Daphnia pulex: one gene and its partner. The protein of the gene in region 2 interacts with the protein of the main gene of each other region in a pairwise test. Links are inferred from orthologs where the notes say so. Each region holds a gene or a part of one and is shown on either strand. Other genes may lie near its edges. The genes, in order: Down syndrome cell adhesion molecule-like protein Dscam2 and cytoplasmic protein NCK1-like.

Region 1 (3,822 bases), about 3.2 Mb from region 2:
GGTGCGGGGAGGAGGTAAAGGTGGCTGGGGAGGATCCGGATACGGTGGCAGGGGTAGATTCATGGTTCCGTTGCCGCGTAATTGCTGTCCATTGACACTGCGCCGGGCCAACATGGTATTCTGATTCGGGCTGGTGCCGAAATCCGGTGGTGGCAGAGGTGGATTGGTATTGGTATACGAAGCATAAGAGTTGCTTTCCGCTCCTCCGTACATGTCACAATTAGCCGGATCGTCGTAGCAGTTTTCAGGAGCATAAGTGGCGCCGTTGGGCATTCGCATCATTCGGTTTCCGGGACGGGGCTAATGTTGTCGCAACGGATCACGGTTAATAAGTATGAGTACGGAAATGCGCAAAAGGTCATCGGATTACCATCGATTGGGAAGCTTGGCGGTGGTGGTTCATGTCCTGTTGGGGTGGTTGTCCTCCGTTGGGATGAGGGAAAGTCTGGAATTGGTTTCCTGTCTTGTTGGGATCCATTTCTTCGCGGAATCCAAGCAGATGAAACGTGGCGTACGGACAGATCTCATCATCCATACCTTGAAGGAAATACCGAGAATTATCATTAGTGACGTTTTTATACCTTCGGGACTGTTGAGATTCCCAATTTCGTTAATAAAAAGACACAGTTAATACGACAAAAGAGTACCACACAGATTGTCATCGGCTTTCTTTTTTTTTTTGTTAAAGTATGCCTTCAACCGAGGGTATAAGAAAAAGTGTTAAGATTATATAAGTCCAGGCAGAAAATGAGACACAACAAGGTAAGCGAGGAGTGGTAAGTGGGTGGTTTTCATTTACCTGCGTACAACGAAGCCCCAGACTGGTTTACCTCCTCACCGGGAACCTCTACATTCCGGCGCGGGGGTGGGTGGATTGACAGTTCGTCATAAACAGGTCGGCGTGGGTCCAGCGTCCGATAGGCATGACAGTCTGCGTGACCTTTTTTTTTGTTTTTCGTTTGCGTAAGTGTACGTTTTGTGTGTGTTGTGTGTGTTTTGTCAGGTATTTTTCGTCGATGTATGGATGGAATGAGTATAGCCAGAGAAAAACAAAATTCGGGAATGAAAAAACGCAATACAAATATAGCGAACGGAAACGGAAATAAGCGGCAGGATCGTCACAAACGCAGAACCGTCCGGATAAATAAAAAAAAAAAAAAATCAGTGAATCGTCGACTACCAAATGTTTTTTTTTCTTTTTTTCTTTTTTTGATTGTAAAAGAGAATTTGAAAAATAAACGTGCATTGCAAACACTCATGGCATACCATTGAATCGACAGTAAGAAAAAAAAGAAAGGATGAAATGAAAAAAAAAATACTTTGAATGGAATAGTTACCGCGTTTGATCCGGTCGCAAGTGTTGTATTGGGTTCCTGGCACAGGTGGGAGCTTGCGGTTGGGTGGAGGGATGTAACCAAGTTCATCACGCATGTCACCACCGTTACGTTTCATGGTCGCATTGCTGGCCGAAGCTTGATTGTAGATGACATCATCTGGCCAAACAAAATGAAAATGAAACAAGAGATGAACCGAGTAATAATTTAACAAAAGCAAACCTTTGTGGCCGTTGTTGCGGCCCTTGATGACGCAAATGACGACGATGGCGGCGATAATAACCATAATGGCTGCGGCAGCTGGAACCACCAGATTCAAATTCATCAACATGGCCAGTAGCGGATTTTCCTTCTCTGATGTTTCCCTGGCTGGGGCGATCGTTCCTTTTGAAATGAAATAATACGTTCCAGTTTAATATTGAGCACTTGACATGGAGAAATCTTTGAACGGAAGCCGTTTGCGTAAACATTCACTCTGTGGCAACCTCTGTCGGAAGCCGAAAACTAAAGTCAACACTGTTAAAGCTGCCTTCTTCCGCCTAGACCGCGAACCCCTCCCGTTTCTTTAAACTAAACACAACCCCACTCGACAGCCATTCACAACATCGGCGGCTTAAGATCCACTTGAAGAAAAAAGGTTCCGTCAGTGTTTGTTTATATTTACCTCCGGTTAGGGTCAGAGTGGCAAACTCATATTCGGCAACAGTTGAACCTGCGTTATTGTGGGCAGTCACACGAAGATTATACCAAGTGGCCGGGCTGAGATCAAGTACGACGAAATTGCCACCGGGCTTGACGCTGTTGGAAACCAAAGTCCAGTCTTGATTTCCCCTGGAAGGAAAACAAAGATGAGTGCCGACGCTCGGATAATTCAAAATCAAATTCAGAAAATCAAAACATACTTTCCGCGATACTCGACAACAAAGTAAAGCATGGGACAACCGCCATCCGACCAGGCACTTAGATGAAGTGTCACACTGCTAGCTGAACCTTCGATAAATCGGTTGGCATCCGGAACAGCTGGAGCTGATCCTTTGGTCCGTGTGTTGATCACGTCCGACCCTTCTCCCGTTCCGATTCTGATTCGAATTTGAATGATTACGTGACACCAACAAAGAGCTCTGTGCTTCAATGATAAACATACCCATTGTAGGCTCTGACGTAGAGTTGATAACGAGTTCCACACCAAAGGTTCTCGATCGTGTAATCCTGAAGAGAGTTGCCGATTTGAGTCGTCTCCCAATCGCCGAACTCGGGTTTGTAGTGAACAGTGTATCCGTGGATAGGTGTCTCTTCTTCCTTTCGCGGTTTCACTTTGATCGTAATAGACGTAGTGGTGGTGGATGCCAACGATAGGTGAGGCGGATATGGAGGAGCTATCGATAAAATTTTTAAAAATTAATAATTCGTTTTCTTAACTTATGATGTTTGAGAAAGTCACCTTGAACTTGGAGTTGGTGAGTGACTGTGTCTTGGCCGTACATGTTCTCGACGGTGCAGGTATACTCTCCAGCATCATCGCGAGTGACTTCACGGACGAGGAGAGATCCTTCAGGCAGTAGGCGAACTCGTTCCGATGCGGCATAAGGAGTTCCCTTGATTTTCCACTGGATTTCAGGCAATGGAGCACCGACTGCCTGGCAGGGCAGTTTGACATCTTCGCGGTACGAGACGCTGAAAGTGTTGTCAAACGACGCAATCTTGGCCGGAACACGGGTACCAGGAGCAATCGTGACGGTCTTGGAAGCCTCTCCCTCTCCGACGTTAGTGGAAGCCGTTACCCAGAAATTGTAGCGCTCCTTCTTCTTCAGTCCGCTGGCCTCATAATTTAGTTGAGATGGCGACACTTTCTGACTACGAGCATCCTCCTGAAATTAAAGAAGTTGTATTACAATTCTAACAATGATAACATGTCAATCATTTACCGATCCTTCTTGAATGTAAACGGTGTATTGATTGACGATTCCATTTGGCAATTCCGGTGCTTTCCAGCTGACTAAAATTGAATCCGGAGTCATCAAAAGAGCTTTGACAGCCGAAGGTGATCCAGGAACTGAAAAATAAATAATTTCCAGGGATTTTATTATTAATGAAATGTTATTCATGCGAATTTTGCAAATAATTACCATCTTGTTCGGTGTGACAGGAAACGGGTACGGATTTGACACCATCACCGCCAGCGGTGAAAGCCAAAACTTGCATGCTGTAGTTGGTGTACTTGCGCAATCCGTGGAGGATAGTCTCGCTGGTGGTGATAATTTTGGCATCTTTGCTGGTTTCATCTGTTGGATTAACAAAAGGATGACGCCATCGAATTTGTCAGACTTGCACAACAATGAGACAACTTACCGAACCAGATATGACTCGGTCCGTAAATGACTTTGTAACCCTTGATAATTCCGTTGACAGTAGTCAGAGGAGGTGATGTCCAAGACAGCCGAATGGATTGAGAAGTTAGGGCTGTGCACGTCACATCTTGAGGGGCCTG
Region 2 (4,468 bases):
AAATATTACGTGAAATATATCGCCGGGTCTTTCAGTACGGCTTCGTCAAAATAGAGCAAGTACCACCAACGAAACTTGACACCAGCGCGGTTATCGAGCGTATCTGCCGTATGTCCCACACGGTCTTTGGAAAGTTTTGGGAAACCGGTACCAATTTCGACCATAAGGATACGGGTTACCTGAACGGCTATTTAGAAGCCCATACAGACAACACTTATTTTACTGAAGCGCAAGGGTATGGATTTCCCTCTTTTCTTGTTGATTTAATTCTTATTTTTGAACTGAATTTATCCTTTTCTATCCTATCCGTTCATTGTTTTAGGCTTTTGGTTTTTCATTGTACTCATTTCAATGGGACGGGTTGCGAATCTTTCTTGGTAGACGGATTTCACGTGGCTAAGCAGTTAAAACAGCTTGATCCTTCTGCCTACGATTATTTGTCCAAAGTAAATATGGAAGCCGAGTATATTGAACCAGGTGAGCATTTCTCTTCTTGGGGTCCCATCTTCCGTCATCATCCAGTGAGCCATAAGTTGGAACAGATTCGGTAAGATACTTTTGTCTGAATAAAAAGGCGTTTCTATTTTAATTACAGTAAATTTATTCTTTATTCAGGTTCAACATGCTAGATCGGTCGCCTCTTTCTGGTATCCCACAAGAGGAAGTCGGTACCCATTATCGTTATCTAAAAACCATGGCGACGCTCGTAAAGAAAAAAGAAAACGAATATCGGTTTCGTCTCTCACCAGGAACCGTGATGATAATTGATAACTGGAGGCTCTTGCATGGGCGTGAAAGTTATCAGGGTGAAAGAGTATTGAGAGGTTGTTATTATTCCCGATCGGACTTTATGAGCAAAGCGCGACATTATGGAATAATATCTTGATTAAACTGCGCCACGATTAATTCGTCAATGCACAATAAAACAATACCATTTTCAAGACAAATTATTTGTTATTTTAAACCCGCATTTGGAAACGCATAGAAATTTTCGAATTTAATGTAAACTGAATATGATTACCGGAAAATAAATAATCATCAATTTAAAAAAAATTATAAAAGACTCGTCAGCTCCGCAAAAATAAAATGTGAATAAAACAATTTAATGTGTAGTAAAAAAAATTCATAAATGATATTACTGGCGTGGTCCAGTGGTTATGGTACCCGATCATCATGAGGTGGAAAGATTGGGATGGTTTCACCTGCGGCTCGTGGATACTAGTCAAACTAGCTAAATGAAGTACAGCATAAATAGAAATAAGTCTCTTAGTTCCCTCTTGGCTGAGCAACTATTTGAAAATGCAACAGTGCAATAATCGTAATCTGTTACGATATTGCATGCGCGGAAATCATTCCAATGACCAAAATTGATGGATCAATCCTCTATAAATTCTAAACTTTTTTTACAATGTAAATTTCACATTTTATTTCTCGTCAGCTCCGCTCTAGCCTTTAAAGTAAATGGCAACTCAGCAGGCATCGTATTCAACATGGCAGCTAACTAAAAACTGGCCCTGCCCACGAAAAGTTTTTCGAGGATTAAAATCGATAAAGACGAGTCATTGAATTGAATTTGCATCGTTCAGCTTGAGTATTGCTCAAAATCAAAGCATTTTTGGGCAGTGATTGCTCATTGGTGTCCGCTAAGGGTCGCACAACATAATGTCTAGCAGTCTAAAAATGGGTATGTTGGTTTATTATTATAGGGTGACTCATTATGCAGTTGTCATTAGTTGATGTTTATATGTTGGTTTATTGCATTCGTTTCAGGCAAAGCCATTGAAGACTGTTATGTCATTGCAAAGTATGATTATGTTGCCCAAGGATCACAGGAGTTGAGTTTAAGGAAGAATGACAAACTTCTATTGCTGGATGACTCAAAACATTGGTGGAAAGTTCAAAATTCTCAACACCAATGGGGATATGTCCCTAGCAATTATGTGAAGAAGGAGAAACCATCTATATTTGACTCAATCAAGAAGAGAGTGAAAAAAGGGAATAGCATCAACAAATCCTCCAACAGTCCCGGTGGCTCTCCCGTGAGAGAAGTTGATTCTCCAGTAGTAATCAAGCGCCCTTCTCCTGATACATCACATTATCCAGCTCATGATCTCAATGCAGGGCCTCACCAAGGCTGGGCGCTTGTTCGTTACAATTATGTTGCTCAGCAAACTGATGAATTGTCTCTTGTGAAAGGTAACTTGTTGCAAATTGACGTCAACACCCCCAGTATGTTTACTAACACTTCAATCAATGCATTTATTAGGAACAAAGGTGCTCGTGCTTGAAAAAAGCAGTGATGGTTGGTGGAAAGGTCAATACCAAAACCAAATTGGATGGTTTCCATCAAATTATACCCTCCCAGATTCATTACAACAGCAGCAGCAGCCTGTAGCAAACATGACAGCAAGCGTCGCACCGCCGGCTGCATCAGCTATGGTTATGTCTGCGGGAGAACACATGTACTCAGCAGCCGAGAATGTTTTGGATGTCGTAGTTGCTCTTTACAGGTAAGCCGAATTTTAGTCATTAATTTGGATTAAAATTTATTTTGGTATTTGATATATTTTACAGCTTTGCTGCACAAAATAACGAAGAACTAAGCTTCGTTAAAGGCGAGAGACTTGAAATTCTTGATCGTCCACCTGCAGATCCGGATTGGTATCGAGCCCGGAACACCAATGGTTCAATTGGTTTGATTCCAAAGAACTACGTTCAGGTATTATTTCGTCGTGACTAATTAATTATTGGTAACGTTATGCTCGTTACAATAAAACTTGTTCTTCTTGTTTCTTTAGGAGATTAGCGACTTTTTGACCGAACCTTTCCGTCAACGAGCACCTGGTGGTAATGGTGCTCCAGGTGGGCCTCCTGTCAGCAATTTGCCCCCGATGCCGAACAACGGAAGTAACGCAGTAGACGGCATGGGGCGAAGTTTGGATGCCTTGAGTTTGAATACACCTCCCGCCGTATCTGCTAGCCTGAGCCAGGATCCTAATTTCCCTCACTTGAAAGAAAAATCCTGGTTTTACGGAGCCATCACCCGAGCTGAATGCGATAATCTACTTAATCAGTATGGTCAAGATGGAGACTTTCTTGTGCGATCATCTGAAACCAACGTAATTTGTTTAAAAAAAAAACTATTTTAGAGTTTACGTTTACTAATTCATTTGTAAATAATAGGTTGGAGATTACTCCGTGTCTCTGAAAGCACCCGGTCGCAATAAGCATTTCCGAGTCCACGTCGAAGGAGCTTTGTATGTCATCGGTCAGCGGAGGTAAGATCGGATTATATTCATTTCATAGTCTTCCAATTACATTCTGATTAATATTCGAATTAGGTTCCATTCTATCGACCAGTTGGTAGACCACTACCAAAGATCCCCCATTTTCACGTCAGAAAAAGGAGAACGTCTCTTCCTTATCCGACCACTACCCAAGCCTGTCGGATATATCCCACCTTCTTTTGCACCACCCACTCCGGCGACAAGACCGATGCAACCGATGGCCTAATGGCGGTCTTAACACAAGTAGCTCTAACCAAATGTGTGGGTTTATTACGAACCCACTGTTCTCTCTTTGAAGGATAAAAAAAAAAAAAAAAAACACAGAAGAGACAACTCTCTCATCTCTTTCGATAGCTCCCCCACCCCAATAACTTTTTTCTCGCCGTTGACAACGATCCATTTAATTCATTTATGCAATTATTCGGCATTCATCAGATACGACCCAAGGGCACTTGGAGAGTGCGTTTTCAAGCTCACTTGATGAATTTAATCTCGTAGCTAGCCCGATATATTGGACAGACTTACTCCCAGTTAGTTTCCTTAAATTTTGATTGATAACACTAAAGGGGCACAGCAGCAACAACAACAACAAAAAGTAACGGTTTCCAAAATATGAGAAGAGATGGCGAGTGAAAAAGGAAACACAAAATATATAACTTCAGGAGGGCACCGGTGGTATCACGGGTCCATTCGTTTATTCAAATTTTTGGTTTTTGATTATTATCAATTTTTTCTTCAAATAATCATTCTATCGCCATCTTTTTGAGGGTTTCAGTTAAATTGAGGGATGTGTGGGTTTAAGAAGGGATTCGCTTGCTTTCATTCCCAGATTGGTCGCTCACTCGTCATCACCATAGACCTCAGTGGAACTGTGCGTTATTATTATTATTAATTTTTTTAAAACTCGTGTTGGTATCGAGGAATCTAGTCTCTCGCATCCCTTGAACACCCGACCACATAACCATGTAGAAGCTGAGTCCCACAGAATGAGAGAGGGAGGAAGAAGTAAAGAACATTGCGAAATAAGAAACATTTTTTAATCCCTTTTTTTCAAACATAACTGTCTTCGTCTTTATTCTTCTCTCTCCCCCCCCCAGAGTGTGTGTGTGCTCGTATAACCCATTTGTAGTATGATTTCAAAGCTCATTTCTGTTCTCTATTGTGCGCGCGTGTGTGTGTGT

Evidence for each region.
Region 1: the proteins of cytoplasmic protein NCK1-like (region 2) and Down syndrome cell adhesion molecule-like protein Dscam2 interact in a two-hybrid assay, tested with the Drosophila melanogaster proteins (3 studies listed by BioGRID). The link is inferred for Daphnia pulex from reciprocal best matches to the Drosophila melanogaster genes dock and Dscam1.

The regions. Positions count from the first base shown.
Region 1 is NC_060024.1:11,654,442-11,658,263, forward strand, and holds part of Down syndrome cell adhesion molecule-like protein Dscam2, read right to left. Parts: coding exon 3,684-3,822; intron 3,617-3,683; coding exon 3,461-3,616; intron 3,388-3,460; coding exon 3,260-3,387; intron 3,203-3,259; coding exon 2,776-3,202; intron 2,711-2,775; coding exon 2,479-2,710; intron 2,414-2,478; coding exon 2,237-2,413; intron 2,166-2,236; coding exon 1,999-2,165; intron 1,719-1,998; coding exon 1,557-1,718; intron 1,494-1,556; coding exon 1,338-1,493; intron 941-1,337; coding exon 800-940; intron 538-799; coding exon 371-537; intron 301-370; coding exon 1-300. UniProt on the Drosophila melanogaster protein: Cell surface receptor involved in guidance and targeting of growing nerve axons.
Region 2 is NC_060024.1:8,484,126-8,488,593, reverse strand, and holds the start of cytoplasmic protein NCK1-like, read left to right. Parts: upstream 1-1,468; 5' UTR 1,469-1,662; coding exon 1,663-1,684; intron 1,685-1,770; coding exon 1,771-2,196; intron 2,197-2,266; coding exon 2,267-2,510; intron 2,511-2,574; coding exon 2,575-2,719; intron 2,720-2,798; coding exon 2,799-3,119; intron 3,120-3,183; coding exon 3,184-3,278; intron 3,279-3,341; coding exon 3,342-3,513; 3' UTR 3,514-4,468. Other genes in the region: trimethyllysine dioxygenase, mitochondrial-like, read left to right, coding at 1-235, 323-547, 616-886. UniProt on the Drosophila melanogaster protein: Adapter protein that links cell surface receptor tyrosine phosphorylation to downstream signaling pathways and effectors, many of which are involved in regulation of the actin cytoskeleton.